Linked DNA regions of Drosophila melanogaster. Changing the gene in region 4 together with the main gene of any one other region gives a genetic interaction. Each region holds a gene or a part of one and is shown on either strand. Other genes may lie near its edges.

Evidence for each region.
Region 1: of RasGAP1 (region 4) and fred, changing one enhances a phenotype caused by changing the other (phenotypic enhancement), as found in Drosophila melanogaster (one study listed by BioGRID).
Region 2: of RasGAP1 (region 4) and svp, changing one enhances a phenotype caused by changing the other (phenotypic enhancement), as found in Drosophila melanogaster (one study listed by BioGRID).
Region 3: of RasGAP1 (region 4) and Ptpmeg, changing one suppresses a phenotype caused by changing the other (phenotypic suppression), as found in Drosophila melanogaster (one study listed by BioGRID).

The regions. Positions count from the first base shown.
Region 1 is NT_033779.5:3,988,687-3,993,374, forward strand, and holds the start of fred (friend of echinoid), read right to left. Parts: upstream 3,028-4,688; 5' UTR 2,862-3,027; intron 1,115-2,861; 5' UTR 735-1,114; coding exon 707-734; intron 1-706.
Region 2 is NT_033777.3:12,279,413-12,284,135, forward strand, and holds the start of svp (seven up), read left to right. Parts: upstream 1-1,697; 5' UTR 1,698-2,182; coding exon 2,183-2,837; intron 2,838-4,723. UniProt on the Drosophila melanogaster protein: Receptor that is required in photoreceptors R1, R3, R4 and R6 during eye development; generation of the ganglion mother cell-2 (GMC-2) fate in the nb7-3 lineage, coinciding with the transition in the expression of HB to KR in the neuroblasts (NBs).
Region 3 is NT_037436.4:326,339-331,118, reverse strand, and holds the start of Ptpmeg (protein tyrosine phosphatase Meg), read right to left. Parts: upstream 3,023-4,780; 5' UTR 2,651-3,022; intron 2,131-2,650; 5' UTR 2,094-2,130; intron 1,298-2,093; exon of another isoform or gene 1,080-1,297; coding exon of another isoform or gene 1,045-1,079; intron 984-1,044; coding exon of another isoform or gene 904-983; intron 842-903; coding exon of another isoform or gene 638-841; intron 579-637; coding exon of another isoform or gene 422-578; intron 364-421; coding exon of another isoform or gene 130-363; intron 71-129; coding exon of another isoform or gene 1-70. Other genes in the region: mthl9 (methuselah-like 9), read left to right, coding at 1-70, 130-363, 422-578, 638-841, 904-983, 1,045-1,079; Atac3 (Ada2a-containing complex component 3), read left to right, coding at 3,478-3,573, 3,631-3,984, 4,040-4,252, 4,395-4,415, 4,580-4,697, 4,761-4,780.
Region 4 is NT_037436.4:9,852,249-9,857,170, forward strand, and holds the start of RasGAP1 (Ras GTPase activating protein 1), read right to left. Parts: upstream 3,038-4,922; 5' UTR 2,565-3,037; coding exon 2,417-2,564; intron 1-2,416. UniProt on the Drosophila melanogaster protein: Inhibitory regulator of the Ras-cyclic AMP pathway. May function as a negative regulator of Ras85D/Ras1 in the sev signaling pathway. Acts cell autonomously in cone cell precursors as a negative regulator of R7 photoreceptor cell determination.

The DNA.
Region 1 (4,688 bases), on a different chromosome or scaffold from region 4:
TGTCCATGATGTTGTTGATGAGTGGGTGGTGTCTTTTGTTTATGGTCACTCGGACCACTTCGCCCCTTCACGTAAACGCCTTTTGCGGCATTGTGAAATTTCCCAGGACGCACATAAAAATGAAAACCGCCAGAAGGGCCAGATAACAAGTGGCAAGGAAAACGGGGGCGTGGCATGGTGGAAAAAAAAAATGAAACTGAAAATGCAGGAGGGGCAAAAGTGGAAGTCAGTCAGGCAAGGAAAATGCAATTGACTGGGTTGCAAAAGAGGTGCATATGGCGATGACTTCAAACAGCGCGGTTTGTGCATCTCAGGAATTGAAATGAAAGTCTTAAAAGAATTTCTTAATAAAACCGAGCTGCTTTTCATAAGCAAGTAGTCTTATAATAGCATTTTCTATTAGGCACTATATGACATTACTATTATTAAAGTATATTCTTGTATTTTAATTTTGGTCTGGTGGTGTTTGGTTTATTCCATATAGTACTATAATTAAAATATAAACAAACAGTTTTAACTACTTTGAATGGCCTAATTTTGTTTCTTTTCAACCACTTTAAAGCTCGCGATGAGGTCATGAAAATAAAATTGAAACAGGAAAATAAAATAAACCACAGCAGCCGCTGCTTCGGTCAGATTTCGAGTTCGTGCCTTCATTAATGATTTTTCTCTTTTGTTTCTGTTTTAATTGTGAGATAAAACTTACCGATAATGAGCAGCTTTATGGTCGACATGTTTGACTGCTGTGCTGTTGCTGATGAATTTTCTGTTTTTCCGCCTGTTTTTCTTGTGCGCTTTTTTTTTGTTTCGTTCAACTCTTTGGGTGGTATTTACAGAAATATTAATCCGCTAAAGAGGCAACAGTTTGACAGTAACTGGAGTCGGCGACCCGCCCAAATTGCATTTTAATGTCGCAATGGAAATGCAATTTGGCTGACGATTATCCCGAGACACATTTCGGTTTTTGTTTCTGCGGTTGTGCGTTTTTTTCTCTCTATTTCGGTTTCAATTTGCGTGTTTTTAAAGGCTCACTCGAGAATTGATTTTGCAATGCGATGCTGAAATGCTCGTTCAAATATTCACGCACTCGAGATGCCGATACTACGGCTGGACACTGTAATTAAATGTTTCAATTAAATTAAATGCGACACACACACACTCGTGCTCATGTTAAATGCATATGGAAGGCGCCTAGAAGTAGGCAATGAATATTTAAAGGCTCAGACATTTCAATTTGGGCTTGCAAAACCGGGCCGAGGCCGAAAGGTCCAATTGAAGCCATGCCCAGGCATTAAATGAACATATTTCCCAAATAATAATAATTTGCAAGAGCACCGACTAGAGATGGATACCCCAAATGGAATTGTGCCCACTCAGTTGGCTTTGCCCCCGCCGCACATGTAAACTGTGCTGCTAATGTCTTATTCATGTTTACAATACCCAGCAAAAAGCGACTTATGAGCGGACAGCATGTCAGTCAAATAGCTTGAAAATGGCCCATCGCTTGCGTGCTCCAAACTTATTAGGTTTCATCCTAACGAAAATCCCACACCCTCCATATCCGCATCCACATCCCAGCCCCAGGTGAGTTGATTCCGCCGGAATGGTTGATGGGCCTCCTTTTGACCAAGCCTCGGCAATTGCCGGGCTATTTATTTAAACCGGAGCCGAGGGGACACAAAACCGTAGCGTTTTACTGCCCAATTGTTAATGGAAATCTCCTGCGTTACTCGACACTAATCACTAAGTAATTATGAGTTATTAATGGTGACTGCTTATTTTTATTTTGAGCCAGAGCTTTGGAAAGATAATCCGTACTTAAAATAAAACACCTTTAATTTTATGCATTTACACTGCTTGAGTTTATAGCAGGTTTTTTAGTCACTAACTTACAATTTAATCACTTAGGTGTTTTCACAAAATCTAAATTTTTGAATATTTTAAAACTTCTTATCAGGTCACTTGCATATTTTGGCAAGCTTTCCTCGTTTATTTAGTTTTTCTTCAGGAAATTTATGTGTTTTAAGCAATAAATACTTGTATTATCACAAAACGCTTTAGGTAACAGTTATCTCGATTGTCTTTGCTGTATTTAAATGCACTGTGCCTCAGAATCGAATACTAATGAAAATATATATCTTTTACTATTTGACTCCAGTGCATTCAAATCGACATTTTATTTAAGAAACTCTCGGCAACTCACAACTCAGCGAACTAAACATGGCTCCTAATTCGCTTATGCACTGCCAGTAACTTTAAGCTAAACCATTTTCAACGCCATCAAAATAACCAGCCGTCATAACAATGGGCAAAAAAGCAAGAGAAATCCTAAAGAAAGCTCCCAAATCAGCTGTCACAGTGGAATAATAAAAATAATTTATTTGCATTTTATTTGCCCAGCCTGGGAGTGAGTCTGGCTCGGACTTGTTTTCTAGGACCAAAGAGCAAGGACCAAGGACAACAAGTTGCTGACACACACAAACGGAAAGGACGCACAAAAAAAATAAGAGGAAATTATACGGATTTGACAGATGAGCGAAGGTAAGTGGAGCACAACTTTCGCAGCGGCTTTAAATTGAGCAGAAATTGTTTGTCACTGTTTGCTGGCCCCTTTTGGCGCTTTGCTCGTATTTTATTTTATTTCATTTCATTTCTTTTTTCCCGTTTTCTATTTCTGTTGCACTAGTTTTGGCCCAGTTTCTGGCTTTTTGGCGGCATAAATATGCATGGCTGTGGGCCGAGCAGCGGGCGGTGGGGGCAGGAGGTGGGTGCAAGGTCACGGGGAAAAGCGGGGCAACAGTTGCACTTGAGTGCCATTTGTCGAAAGAGTTGCCCGGCAATTTGCATAATTACAAACGCACATGTAAGCGAAACGCGGTTTCCGCCTGTCCGCAATTTCCACTGCAACGCTTTTCCGCACTCGCGTTTCTTCGGTTTCTACATATACTTGGGGTCCTGTTTTTAGGAGACTTTTCCACTCGGCCTTTCCAGTTCTTCCCGACTTTTCCGCTTTGCCGCCCGTGGCCGCAGAATGCTTCTTACCAACTAAGTGCAATTTCGGTTTTGTTCCAGCTTAAGAACGAAGTTCGATATGACGAGCTGCAAAACACGAGTACAGTGAACTTCGGATGTCGCGTACGAGTGTACGAAATCCATAGACGAAGTCGCCAATTTCGGTTGTTGAATATTATTCGAGGCGGCTGCGCTGAGAGAAAGGCTTGGCAACATGTTGCCAAGGGAGAGAAAGTTCTCTTTTGAAAAAAAAAGAGAGCGGCTAAGGACTTTTGTGGTAGGTTAGGAACTCTAGTGAAAGGACTCAAAACAACGAACCGCAAATTGTCCTAGGCCTGTAATTCATCCATAGATCAACGGAAATTTTGTTAAACATAACTCTAAGTTTTATGAAATAGTTAATCATGCCTAGTTGTCTTTATACAATGCCAACTATTCCATATTTATTTCACTTTAAACATCACATACTTTTCATTCATATTAATATCTTCTTGTTTGATAGCTCAAAGTTTACAAGATTTAAGAACATGTTAATTTGTAGATATTTTCATTATTCGATTCAAATCATCATTAATGGTTTACAGATGAATTTATTTCTACAAATAAATACATACAAGTTGTTTAATTTTATCAAACTGCTACATTTATTAGTTTTATTTGCTTTTGTGGTCCTTTTCCTGCTCTTTGGTTTATTTATGTTTTGGGGTCAGTTGTTTATGGCCATAAACACACACGAAGCATAGTCCACGAAATTTTGTTTGGACCATAATCGTTGGGACTCGGTTTTAGACAAGTTTTTTGCCCCAATCCTGGCTAACTTTTCCGGAGAGAAACTGTTTCCTATTTCACTCGTTCCCATCTCTCTTTTCCGTGCGGTTTTCTCTCACATTCTCTTGCCGAAACTTTCTCTTTTGGCAACATGTTGATTTGTTGCACTTGCAAGTGCATTCGTTTTTATTAATCAAGGCAATCAACAGTTGGTCCTGACTAGTGCAGACAGAAAGTACGGAATGCTCTGCATTTCGTTTTTTAATATTTTCACATGAATTATATGTTCCTGAAATCTTTTTATTTTACGAAAACTTACATATTTGAAGGGTCCTTTTGAATATTTTGAGCAATCAACAAAAGTGTCCCCCATTTTACAACAGCTATGTTTCTGAGTAGTTTATGGCCCACGCTTCGCAGGATAAACATTTTGGGCCCTTAGGCAGTTGTTTTGCAGCCCTTACTCCCTGTTTTGAACATGTCGTGGCACATAAAAAATATTTGCAAACTAAATGTGGCAAGTTTGGGGAGAAAAAAAGTAAAAAAAAAAAAAAGAGACCGCCACAAAGGTTGAGCCAACACCTTGGCACTCAAATACACACAGATATGTACAAAAGTTGTTAAAAAGTCCGAATAAATAAATTTTCTCTTTCAGCGAAAGAGAAAGATGTAGTGGGAGTAAGTGAGAGGTCGGAAGTGGAGACGCCTCACAAATGTTTGACATAAATTTATGCGTTTTGTGTGTTGCCCACGAAAACTCCTCAACTTTGCTTGTAGATCAGGTTAGATGGTACAATTTCGTTTTGGGGCGGAGGGCTTGAAAACTTTAGAGGAGGGGCTGGAAAATCAGGGGGTGGAGGAATTCGGGGCAGTCATGGTTGAGGATGCCAAACTAAAGTGTGTGCCGA
Region 2 (4,723 bases), on a different chromosome or scaffold from region 4:
GTGCAAAGTGCGGTGGCCACAATTTGGCCCTTTGGACTGGCCTGCAACTCTTGGCTTTGCAGCCAGCGACACTTTTCCAATATTTTCCATTTCCCCAACCACCCGTTTTGAATGAAAAACGAAGTGGCAACAGTGTTGCGTGGCATCCAGCGATTGCCTTTAAGTTTTCACTCTCCAGAAGTTAGTTGCGTGCAAATGGGCGGTAGTTAAATGCTAATTTCAAATAAAAAACCAAGAAGTAACAGTCGCCAAATGGACATATCAGGTTGCGCGAGGTGTCCTCGTTAAGAATGAATTCAATTATCGTTATGATTTCATGTTTTGGCACTTCCCCAACCACATTTCCACCAGACACGTAAACAAAGTCAACAAAGTACAAGTCGAGGAGCCCAGGGACTGCAGTGCACTGATCCAATTAGCCAAGGGAAATTATTATAATTATATTACGACAGTCAGTGGGCTTCACTTGGCCACGACGGCTGCTAAACTTTCATTTAGGGGCAGTCCCCGGGTATATTGAGCGTTAATAATACGATGCGTTTTCGTTGCGCGACATTGGGGTCAGTATCGAGTGCCACTGCTCTTCACATTTTATGAATCGGTATCTGGAAGCAATGCAAATTTTATAAATATTCTCTGCAACACGTGCTTCTTGACAGACATTTTAATGACAACTTTTCAATAGCTGAGTATATCCCATTTATTTAATCACATAAAATTCATATAAAAGCAAGTCTGTTAGCTATTTATTGATTGCTTAGAGCAATAAAGGGCCGCTTTAAATATTGGCTTATTTATTGTTGAATAGCAATGCGATAAAAACTAATAAAGCAACTGGATCTATAATGAGTTATATATATAAATTTTATTATATAATTTTAAAAATGGCAACGGTTTTTCTTTTGGTTTTTTACAATCATATACCTTTTTCATATTGTAATCTATTCGCATCACATACAATCCTGCCACCTATCATCGCACTACCTTCATGAGTAGCAGAGATAAGCTCGATGTTCTTTGGTTGACAACCAATAGAAAAGAAGCTTTAAAGCAAACATTTAACCGCGAACGGGCATTATGGCCGCCAAACTCTTCCTCCAGATAAGAAATCGGACTTTAAGCGCCACTGAAATTGGTGAAATACAAAGTAGAACGCACTTTAAGGCGGTTGGCCAACCAGAGCAGAAACATTCGAGTAGCCAACAAAAAGATAAACAGCGCCGAAAAACTTTTTTCGGGGTGGAGACTCATTTTAAACAAATTGGCAAAAAGTTGAGACCCCCGAAACCGAAAAGTCCGGCGATAAAGAGCCTTAACGGTAAAAGTATCTAACAGATGCGCCCAACAGCGAGCTAATAAGAGCAAACGGGTTCTAGTTGGATTGGATGAGTGAGTGAGTGTGCTTCGTTGAGTGAGAGAGCAGCCACTCTGTTTCAGTTCAGTGGTGGTGGTGGTGGGTATACTGGGTGCACTGGTGGTGGTGGTTCAGTGGTGGTGGCAAACCAGCCAAACGCGTCGAAGGTCTTGCCCCACCAACGCGAGCGAGCGAGAGCGGCGATTTCACTCAACTAGAAGGCAATGCCAGCTAAACGAGAGTGAGCAGACCAGCACCACTGCCCGTTTGAGTTGAGTATGGGGAGCGGAGAGAGATTTGTGTGATGTGTCGTTAGGTCGAAACGGTCGAGTCGAGTCGGGTCGGGTCGTGTACCTTTTGCCACGAATGTTGTGCCAGTCAGGCTCTAAAAGGCCTTACGAGAACAGCTGAGATTTCGCTGCTCCGCATGACGCAAAGATACCGAAATTGAAAAATTTTCAAGTCTTTAAGATATTATATCTCGTGTGTGCGCCGAGCGGGAAATTAATAAGCAACATCGAAAAAATTCAAAAATTCAAAAATAAACCAAGTGTTTTATTAGTGAAGCCAGCTGAAATGTTAACAGCATATGCAGCTTAAAAGAAAATATTAAATTTATTTTAACATAAAGAAGAAGAATTATAACGCGGCTGACAAATACGAATAAAAGGATACAAGTTAAAAGCTAGAGCCGAGGACTCTATCGAAACCAAAGTGTGAACCGTACCAAGTGCGTACAAAGTGTATTCCAGCAATTATCCCACGTGTTCCGACCCGGCCGCCAAAATTATTACGCACAATTCGCTGAGCGTGTACGGCGGCGGCGTCATGTGCGCCTCCCCGTCCACGGCTCCCGGCTTCTTCAATCCGCGCCCGCAATCCGGCGCGGAGCTGTCGGCCTTCGACATCGGCCTGTCCCGCTCGATGGGGCTGGGCGTCCCGCCACACAGCGCCTGGCACGAACCGCCGGCCTCCCTCGGCGGTCACCTGCACGCCGCCTCCGCCGGACCGGGCACCACCACCGGCAGCGTGGCGACGGGCGGCGGCGGTACCACTCCGAGCAGCGTGGCCAGCCAGCAGTCGGCGGTGATCAAGCAGGATCTCTCTTGCCCCAGCCTCAATCAGGCGGGATCCGGCCATCATCCTGGCATCAAGGAGGATCTGTCCAGCAGCCTGCCCAGCGCCAATGGTGGATCCGCCGGTGGCCATCACTCCGGTTCCGGATCGGGTTCCGGTTCGGGCGTCAATCCCGGACACGGCTCCGACATGCTGCCCCTGATCAAGGGCCATGGCCAGGACATGCTCACCAGCATCAAGGGACAGCCCACGGGCTGTGGCAGCACCACGCCCAGCTCCCAGGCGAATAGCTCCCACTCGCAGAGCAGCAACAGTGGATCCCAGATCGACAGCAAGCAGAACATCGAGTGCGTCGTCTGCGGCGACAAGAGTTCCGGCAAGCACTACGGACAATTTACCTGCGAAGGTGAGTACACTGCGAGAAATTATATTCAAATAGGGGGGGAAACAGTTAGAGTGAATGTGTGAGCTAGGGATGTTACCACTCCACCAGTACATTAATTGTGCTTATGCCATACATGTCAATGTATCTATTTGGTGCCATCTTGAGGACCATCACATCTTGGCAATTTTTATTGCTGAGTAGCGATCTCACCTCCAAGGTGCAATTGGGGGTCAATTGATTTCGTACTCGGATTCGAACTGGGGATGACCAAACAGAAATGGCCAACGTAATAGAAAGCGAGCACAAAAGCGTGCCTGCCAGCCGCTGATTTTTGACAGTTTCGGTGAGTTATGGCAGTTTGATGAGTTGGCAATAAACCCTCGGCCAGGTGTGGGTGTGTGGCGGAATGGTAGAGCAGTGGGAATTCTTCCCAGGGCCATGCAAAAGTTGACGGGATGCAGCTGGAATGTATATCTGTGGGCCAGGGCAGTCAATAAACCTACGTGGAGCCCAAAAGCTAGTTAGTTGATCGGGGGCCCCAAATCATGTAAAAATGTTTTTACGAGCAAAAAATACATTTATGATCTAAAATATAGTTTGGTTTGACCCCAGCGAGATTTATGTTTGCGCATAAGCTTACTGTCTTTTGCTGATATATTATTGTGTCTAATTAAATTTTACAGCTGCAATTGCCCCTAAAGTGGTGATAAAGTATCTAAAAAAAAATCCCTGTTCTGGCAGATGATTTTCCAGATACTCAGATACTTTTGCATCTCCGGCCATCATTCCGTTACACTAGAGCTCGCAGCACGAGAGCTCTTGAATATAGCCATATATATATATATATACATATATTGCGATCTGGGCACCCACTGCCTCTCGGCCTTATCGTCAGATAAAAATTATTATCTAAATAAAATACGGTCCGTGCTTTGTCCTAAGCCAAACAATTGTTGTGCAAACATGCAAATTGTGCGGCGGCCGCTAAATGAAGCGCCCACCTTCTTATTGTCTCTCTCACTGGGTTTCTGGATAAGGGGAGCCTCACCTGGAGTTCCGGAAAAGAGGGGTGGCAGATGGGCAATGGAAGGCGGGAGGCGGGGCAGATGGGTAACTGCATTCAGAGATAGAGGGAGATCTGGCATACGCTCTGGCATTTAGTGCAGCTTGAAGTTGAACTTGTCATGCTCGTATCTCTTCAAATGTTCTGGCACTGGAGCACACAGGCAAAGCCACTGCCACAGCCACAGCTAAGAGCCAAGAAGTGACTATGACTGGGCAGAGGCACAGTGGGCCATTGGTATGATGATACCAGAGATTCCCAGATACTTGGCACTCCGTTGGCTCCCACTGTTCGTTCGCGGGCGCTGCTATTATTATTAATCACCGAGCATTTTGTACGCATGCGCAACCCACAAGAGCAACAATCAGAAGATATGCGGCTCTGTGACCGCCTCGTTGCATTCTGAAGGTGTTTCCCCGGATCCCTTCATGTGGCATAGTATGTAGTTGCCTGTTGGCCTGATGATGTTGCCACGATAGCAATCTATTTTGTTCTATGCAATCGCCCAGACTGCAGAGCTGTAGCTTTAGCTTCACTCAAATGCTGGCGAAATAAAACGTAGGAATAATCATAATAAAGCGCATAGAGCCCATATCATTGCCGGCGTTTTCAGGGTTTTTTTTTTATGTTTGCTACTCTGGTGCCTGGTCGCGTCCTTTCAGCTGATTCACTTCGAGGTGCAGATACTTTTCGTGGCTCTTAGAAAAGAAAGATACTCCACTCCACACCACTCCGTTGCGCGGCAACTCGTTTCGGCTGTCTGAGCTCTAAACTCGTGTGTGTCCGTGTGTGTGTGTGCTCACTTGTCCGTCTGTCTGGAGGTCCCTTCTGTCCGTATGTCTAT
Region 3 (4,780 bases), 9.5 Mb from region 4:
TACTCCCTGTTGGTCTACTTGGCCTTGAAGAATCCCATGAAGCTCTCGCATGTGGCTTGCAGAAACATAGGTTGAGTAATTTTGTCTACTTCAACTGGATAACTTATTTTGTTCTATGCATCCCAAAAGGATTTCTGGCCTACTTCTGCATCATGCTCTCCTTCGTCTTTCTGGCCATTTGCAGTCTTGACTTTCTGCTCAAATTTAAACAAAAGGCTGTCAGGAGCTCCGTCCGTCGATTGTCCCTTGCTCTGGCAGTTCTGGCGGTGATTGGTCTTCGGTTTTTGGTCTCCTTAGCCCAGGACTCCAAGCTGCCCAAGCACTTCAAGCCAGGCATGGGAGAAGATTACTGCTGGTTCGATGGTAGGTTGAATAAGAAAGTACAACAAAGTCTAATTTCGAATTATCTATGCATTTTCAGTTCGCACCTGGGGTATTTTGATCTACTACTACGGACCCATTGCACTCCTCCTGATATTCAGCATTGTATGCTGTCTCAAGGCGTACTTTTCCATCTACGAACTGCCACCAGATACTCAGTACATATTGGGCACTCAACTGAAAATCGTCAAGACGCAGTAAGATTTCCTAAAAGCTGTTTTTATTATAGACCTATTTATCTTTTATATTCCTGCAGTTTCTATGCCTTTAGCGCTTACATAGTGGGCGTGTTTGCGGTCTGGATCCGAGAAATAGTCGTGTATATAATGGCCAGAGTGAGAGAGCATTTCTTCATCATTGACTTCTGGAGTGGAATTTGCATTCTGGGCCTGGCCATAGCTGGTTTTATTCTGCTCCTTGGCAAGAATTTGCACGTCAAATCCTGGTGGGCCATTAATGTGTAAGTTGAAATATTCGAATAGAAGCTATAATATTTTAATTGCCCATTTTTTTTTTTTACAGGGAATCAAGTCAGACAGATCTGAGTATTATTAATGCTCGCGTATACAAGTTCGATGAGAAAGGCGATCTAAAATCTTCAGGTTGGTGTTCATCTTATTGCTTTAATTTATCTTCTTTTAACATTGATATTTTCCTTCACAGACTCTCCCTACAAGCCGACAGTGACATCACTTTAACAGGAACTGAGATTATTGCTCATCTGTGAACTCTGGTATTCATATTCATTATGAATCATTTAGTCTGTCGCACACGGGAGAGTATATAAATAATAGTGCCTCAGTACTCTAGCATATTATGATGTACATTTATATCTTTAAGAAGAACCACATTTCTAATCACTTGTCACATTTACAAGGTGCCAAAATAAATATTATAATTCACTTGGATTAATAAGAATACTTTTGATTTGATGTACGCATTTAGTTTTTTCATCTTAATACCACATGTAGTCTCTACCTCCCCTGAAGACCAAAAAAGGCTTCCCGGTATGATCAACGGTAAATCATTCTTCGAAGGAAGCGCTTGACTCGATGAGGAGGGCCAAGTTAACTTGGGGGCCCGCCTGGATTAGTCGCATTTATTGACGCATTAGAGTGGGCATGGCTTAAATGTTGTTGCCATATCGATCGAAAATGGATAGACAAATAATAAAATGGCCTTGCAAGTTTTGTGCAGTTTGTGGGCTTGTTAATCTTCTCAAACAAACTGACGCTACCCGTCTACTTCCCTAATTTCTCAAGTTTCAAGCGTTTTAGTGTTCATTCACACATCCCACTCCGTCCAAGCAGTCAAATCGGGTATGCACCAGATAAAAGTAGTCAAACGGACCAAATCGGACGAAGACTTTTGAAAGGGAAACACCTATCGATGATATCGAATTTTCTGAAAGCGATAATATGGATATCCGGCGACTCGGACGATTTTTTTATCCAAGCAAAGGCCACACTTTATTTTTATCGTATATGTACATACATATATAATTCGCGGTTACGAGCTTTGCGCCATTTATTGGGCAACTTACCTTCAAACTATGCACAATTGATGCCCGCTATTTACAAACTGAGTAATAACGCGAATAACACTTTTTAAAATGTAAATTTCATATTTTTTCAATAATAATTTCCATAATACCAATCATTTTAATCAGCCCATTTTTATATTTTTCATAAGAATTATGTGGATGTACTCACCTATGAACTAAGCTCTTTGAACTCTTACGCAATTTCCCTGCAAAATAAATATATCCCTCTCATTAGGATAAGGTAAAAATTTTGATTGCAAATCTATCTCGTTGATTATAAAAACTTCAAAAAATCCGAATTTCGGTTTACATTTAACTTTGCGAAATATGGATAAAAATAGTAGCCAATATTGCTATATTTTTAAGAAATTTATAAATTTTAAATTTAAGAGGAAGACCAATAGCACACCGCAGAAAAAAATGGCTGCTTTAGAGATCTTAAGCTTGCATCTCATTCTTTCATCCTTACCACCGCAAAGTAAAATGGCGGTGGAAGAAAGAGACGAAGATATATTTTAATTGCTTAAAATCTTCCTTATCAACCCAGAATACAATGGCGGCGGAAGAAAGAAATTGAAACATAAAATTATGCTCTCTATTTTGTTTTAGATCAACAATGGTCACCTAGAATATAATGGCCGCTCAAGAGCATGAAGAATATTGTTAGTCTCTTCTTTTTAACACCAGTAATGAAAAAAATCGGAAAGACTACACACATGTACTTACTATTGTTTGTACGTATCCATTTGCTATCCATCACATATTTTGCATTTTAAATTAACATTTCCCCAATATTCACTGGGAATTCTAAGCCTAGCAAACACATACACTTGCACACTCACACACATGACGAGGATGAAAGAGGAGTGGAGAAAGCAACAAGCTTCTGGCATTGCCGTTACTTCCTCTTCTTTTCATACCTCGTAAGCTTTAAAAAACTGAACAAAAATGATTGCTGCTCTCGCAAGCTGTAATTTGCACGTGCAACATTGATTTCAATTAGACCGCTGCACATTTACTTGATTACCGAGTCACAAAATTAGTTTAAGTTTGCTCATTGCGCGTTGCAAACCTCGAAACCGCGAACTGTAAAAACGATAAGATAAAGTGTGACCGTGCTTGATATCGATCAGAAACTTTCGTCATGTAGAGATTATCGATACCTATTCTTCCTTTTTGGTATATACCAATAAATTCAGCTTCGATTGCCTTATCCTTCGTATTATTACTTTGATCAAGTAATGTCTTACAGGATTTAGCTGTGATTTAAATTTAAATGTAAAAAACGGCAACGCAGAAAATGATTTAAGTTTAACATGATTTTAGACGATTGAAGAAACTAATGCTATTGATGCTATATGACGAAAGCTATTTCAAAAACAATTTTATCTGATAGGTGAGTATAAGCCCTTTTCTATGTCTGGTCACACCGCAGAGATCTAAAAACGTAAACATTCATAATTAAAGCCATTCTTAGCCTTTGCTTAATAAACTTATTGAAGTAATGCCAATTATAGGCCTTCACTCGTCCCTGAAAGTGTTCTTCTGCTAAAATGCACAGTCTCGGCGCCAGCAAAGTCGTTGCTACTCTCCGAGCGGATGGTCACGTCTACCCCATGGAGAACTCCAACCTGATGCACTACGAGATCGTAAGACTCGCGGTACCTTGCTTGTAATTCACACTAACCGAGGCGACTCCTTCATAGCGCACCGAAGGGGATGTCCAGCAAAAGAAGGGGATCCTGGTGGGTCCGGCCACATGCGTTGACCTGGGCAAACAGCTGCTCCAGTGCGCCAGAGACAGCGATGTAGCTGGGGTCAAGGCGGCGCTAGCGCATGGAGCTCCCTTCGCTTCCGACTGGCTAGGTATGTCGGCACTTCACTTTGCCGCCATGAACAATCAGCTGGAGATTTGCGAAATCCTCCTGCAGGGGGGCATTAACATGGATGGCAAGACCAAGGTAGACCGAACGCCGCTCCACCTAGCCTGCTACTACGGTCACGAGCGGATAGTCAGCTTGCTGCTAGCGCTAAAGTGCAGCGTCAACTCCCGCGACATGGTAAGAATATATAAATAAATGACTGTTTAAAATGACTAACCAACATTCCTGTCAGCTTCGCATGACCCCGCTGCACTGGGCGGTCGAGAAAAAACACAAGGGAATTGTGCGCCTGCTACTCAAGTGCCAGGCAGATGTCACCTTGGTCTCCAAATTCGGCAAGACGCCGATCGGACTTGCCGTGTACACGGAACAAGCGGATGTGCTGGCGGAGTTGGAAGCGGCACGACAGGCGCAGGCCAGTAAGAAGTTACACGAGGAATCGGAGGTGAGTGCGCTTGAAGAAATCCACTGAAGGCCATATTTACTACTTAATATGAGGTTTTACTTACGTTTCGCTTGGCTGTTCCTTATTCTTAACAATACAATTGATCGCTGCCTTTTCCCACGCTGCGCTTATCAAACTTCAGCAACAAGCACATAAGACCAAAGTATGTACTTTCGACAACTTGTATTAGGTTGTCACAAATAATAGCAAGAACATTCCCAACTTTGGCCTACATTCCTGATCCTAAAAAATTGTGACAAATACTTTATTCCCAATTGATTCGCAGAAAGAAAAATCATATCATATTTATTCCCCATCGATTTGCAGAAGGAAACCAATGAAGCTGTCAGCTCAATAATGGACGAACCGGAAGTAATTAAAACCGTGGACGACAAAGAAATGTCGGTTGAAGAACGAATGGATGTCCTAGAAAACATGCGAGGCCGTAAGTTACTAGATTCGGAGATATTAAACGAATATTTAACGAAAAACCTATTTTCCCTGCCAGATGCAAACGTCCTGCGGAAC
Region 4 (4,922 bases):
AGTCACACCCTCGTTATCATTCTAAATGAAATTTAGGTTATGCGCTAAACATTTTAATTAAGTGGAAAAGTATTACGCCAATTTTGGACGGACGTTTCGTGTAGAAATCGCAACGAGCAACAAAATGGAAATGGAAAGCCCCCACAACAATAGCAACAAAAGCGAAACTCCGTGTGTAATTGAAACTGAGCACGATGTGGAAGTATTATTATTAAGCATGCAAAGCATAATGAAGTGGAAATATGATACTTGGGAGAAGAATGCAGGGTGTACATACATATACATACATAGATATGTATAGCGCTTATAACGATATATAAATACGTACATATATCACGTTATAAAGCGGATGGGAAAGAAGCTGACTGTTGATGGGCAATAGAGGTGACACAGCAGCTAATGTGCTATAATGATGCGATAATCAATGATGATTATGGGAAATGAATAACTTTCATTCTTCAATCATTAGAAAACGTGATCGTGAGCCGTTTGAAATCGCATTTCTATATCTTTAGTAGAGTTTTTAAGAGGGAAAACTATAAATAAATAATAGTGAGTTCCCAATAATACTTCTATAAAACTAGAGAATATGGTTAAATTTCCTGCTCGATAGGTATTCCCGATCCATAACACAGCATTTTTTAACATTTTAGAGGCATTTTTGAATGGCAATTCCTTTAGATATGGTGTTGTGTAATAACTACTCAGGATTTTTAATGAGATCAGATATGTATCTTGGGAAGCTGTGGTCGATCCTTAACGGAATTTTTGCAGGTAAAGAGGGTAAACATGAACCACAAAGGCGAACGAATGAAATGGAGGTAAAAAGGTGACAGCTAATTTGCCATAACAACCCGATAATCGAAGGAAGTGCATAACTTTCGTTCTTCAATCAGCGCAGAAACGTGTTTTAATTCATTTTTAACCAATATTGTGCCATCTTCTTCGCAGAACCCAAAAGGGTTAAAGCAGCTGGAGAAAGAAGGGAATGTGGCAAAAGGAAGTGTCGAGAGGAGAGGAGGGTGCGAAGAGAAGATCCCGACAAAGACAGAGGCGCATGCGAAAACAATTGAAGCGTGCAAAAAGCAGTTGAAGAGGGGAAGACACGGAAAAAAAGAAGAGCAACTGAAAAAAGCAAGAGTTTTATGGCCGGAGAAAAAGAACACAAAACCGCAACACACGAAGGGAAACTCTGGGCGCTGGGAAACGGAAATCAAAAGCGGCAAGGCAACAATGTTGTTGCAGCTTTGCATATAATTTATGTTGAAAAAGCATAGCAAAAGCTGCTTATGAGTTGCGAGATTGAAAATGTGAGAAGCAGAAGAGGTAAAAATAAATGCGTGTGCAGGTGTGAAAATGAGATCACGGGAACTTTTGAACCCCCCCCCCCCCTCCCCGCACAGTACACACAGCCAGTGGTTATTCATAATTCTGTTTTACTTTTTATGTTTCAACAGGAAATGTAAAACCACCAAAAAACAACCGCAAGTTTATTTTTCGTCTATCTCTTGCAGTCTGCTTCGCTCTCGCTTCAGAATGAAGTGGATGGCAGAATGGAGAGGAAAAGTGAGAGAGCGTCATTCATTCATTTGACCTCTTGCCAATATATAGTAGGCCATTAATCGATGCTCTTTTCGCTTGTTGCTTTTGATAATCATTCATAAAACAGACACCTTCGTATTGAGAAAAGTACACCGAATTCGAAAATTCCATTCATAAAAAAACCCACACATTGTTGCTGGGATCTCTCTGCCGCTTGTGTGTGTGCGTTTGTCGCGTGTGTGTGAGCATGCGCTGGAGCGTCTCACAGACACATGCTTGATTTCCGATTCATTCACAAAAAGGGGCGCATTCAAAACTGCGGGGGGTGTGCTGGGCGATGAAGGAGGAAGAGCGGTTCTGGGGGTGGGTCAAGAAGCGAATGCCGTAACATTCAGCCTGGTCATCCATTACTTCTCAAACGGCAGCAACAACAAATGTATTGCACTGCTGCTGCACGAAAAAAAAACACACACACACAGGGAAAAAGGCAACAGAAACACACACGCACAGAGCAACACGCGAGTCAGAGCGGGACAGCATGCTTATACACTTGAACGCAATATGCATTTCTAGAACAAAAACACATTTGTTTTCTCAATTAATCGACTTTCTTTGCCTCAACTCGCACAAATTTCGGTTTGCCATTAGATTACACAACATTTTGGAAAACTTTTAGACATATTCTCCCGATTCTATGTTGTTTTCTGCTTGGAAGAGGCTCCGCGGGGCAAACGGCGACGCTGTCAAAATTCCAGCACACTTTGGAACATAAAAAACGCACGTTGCTGCGCGTATTTCACTCAACGTTCATGCCACGCATGTTCTTCGACATATTTTTGATGTTTTTGAACGATTTCGCACTCGATTTACATACCAATTTTCACTTTTAATTGCTCTTCAATGCGCACTTCGCGTGTATCGGCCATTTTGTTGTTGTTGCTGCTTGGCTCGACGGCGACGGGCGAGTTAATATTATTGTCGTCTCGCTCGTCGAACATATAGCGCTTCTTCTTCAGCAGCATTGTGCGCTTAAAGCAGCCAGCTTTTTGTCAGCTACCCACTGGGGAACTTGCAACACGCGATTGGAAATTTATCTAACTCCTTCACTCGATCTTCACGAAACTTTAATAACTCGAAATTATTTGTTTTTCTTTAACAGGTTTATTAGCCGGCTATTTGCATTTGAATTTCATCACTCGCTGCAGCGTTGCATTGTGCATTGAGCTGGTGTGACGGGAATATGAGTCGATTTGCCGCTCACGAAATGCACTTTCCCTGTTGCTTCAGGGCTCGACTGATTTTAGTATTTCGTTTTAACTACAAACTGTTTTTTGCACGCACTAGCAGACGTGGGATTATATTATCGAAGTATGGAAAGTAATTCGGTTGCTTGAATCAGAATCGCAAAAACTTGGTTCTCCGAGTTTATTTGCTTTGCGGGTTTACACGCATCCGCGAACAACCTTTCGAAGCGGAATCAGAACTAGAGTGACCGTAGCGAGACGGTTGTATGACTCCAACGAATTAGTGTGACCTTAGCACGGTGCCCCGAAAATACCACGGGAAACGCAAATGATTAATGTTTGCTTAATAATTTGTTTGAAGCAGATATGTTTTAAAATAATTTTTTTATTTTATTCAACAACGGCTTATGCTTATTAAGTTAAGCACAACAGTAAGGTTTTCATTAAAAATGTTTAAGTTTAATTTCGATATTTCACCAGTTCTGGCTATCGAATATATATCGTTAGCTCCAACAAACAGTTATATATTTTGTAATTTATTTAAAATTGATTATTATTAAACACTGAATTTTTGGTTTTTTTTATTTTAACTTGAGGTTTAATTGATGTTTTTATTAATTCCGATTGGTTTTTAGTTGCTTAACTTTGAAACACACTCCGAATTACGAACGTGTTGCAGGTCGGCCGAAATGGAACTGAATTAAAATTTCCAAGCGGCAAGTGTACACATGCACCTCCCAAAAATTTTGTGAATGAAAACGCACACACGCAGCAGCGGTCACCTACACTTAAACACACACACATGTTGCACCGGCGCCACCAACAGCGGAAACAACCGAAGATCGCCGGCAGAGAAAGTCGAGGCATATGCGACTTAAGAAGGGCGGTACAAAGCAATAAAAAACCCTGTTTTGTTTATGATCGATCGTTAAGGAATTATATCAGAAAGCAATGTTTATTTTTAAATTCAACCAGTTTAAGATTCATATCTATTCCAATAACCATGTATCAATAGCTAGTTATGCTTAGCAAAGTAAGTAAAAATCAAATGCCCGGCTGTTTATACCGTAGCGCACATTACGTGGGCGTTCTGGATCGCAGACAGTCCACAGGAACCCGAGGAACTACATAGTACACACATATGTACATTAAAAGTACACAAATATTCAGAAACAAGGCAGTGAAATGTGAAATTCACACGGCATCCGGACAGCAACGCCGCTTATGTTTTTCTTTACGCATATGTTGCTTCTGCTCCTTGCCTTGGAAACCACATGCATCACAACAACAACAAGAACAACAACTGGCAGGGAGAGATCAACAAGTGAGGCGGTGCATCTTATCACAACTGCCGCCAATAAGTGGAAGTGGTCGGGTCAACATTTCGGATGGTTGCTCGGCTGGGTTTCATTGTTTTCGTATGCCCTGCATTTGATCTAGTCACTTCAACTGCACTGAGCAAAATAATTGTATATAAAATAAATTATAATTGTAAATACTATAACACAGTTATAGTTTATAGTAATTGTAATAATTTAAAGAGACTTATCGAAAATTAACATTTCCCTTTAGTATATGCTTTTAAAGTGTATCATAATATTTGTTAAGAACGTTCACAATGCTATTTTCTGTGTAGCGTGCGTAACGACCATTTGAATATGTTGATCATTTCGCTCAACGAAACGTAACCGACGTGGGAAGAAGAGGAGACAGGGCTTTTCTTCTTTTTTTCCGTTTCCAGCTGTCCACTCGATTCCTCCTCCTCCTCCATTTGCCCCGCCCACAAAATTCGAAGCTAGGCGCAGATGTTATAAATATAGTATTTTGTGGCATTTCCATTCGTATGAATGGGTCTACGAGTTTCGGTTTCAGGTTTTTGGGCCTGTTTATAAACCCACTCCTCCCATATTTTCTCATATTTATGTCCGGAAAAGTGTTTTGGTCATTTGTCTAGCTTCCGTTATTATTTCGTTATGAATGAAAAACCCATTTGGACCGGGTTTTTTGATCTCCCTAATTTACAACATTTATTTAGTATTAACTCGATCTTGACGTCAATATGGGTTCGTAAACTTCGTTTACTATTTGCGTCGTGAACAAGTTTCTTAAAACGTTTAGTTTTTCTTATCCACCTCA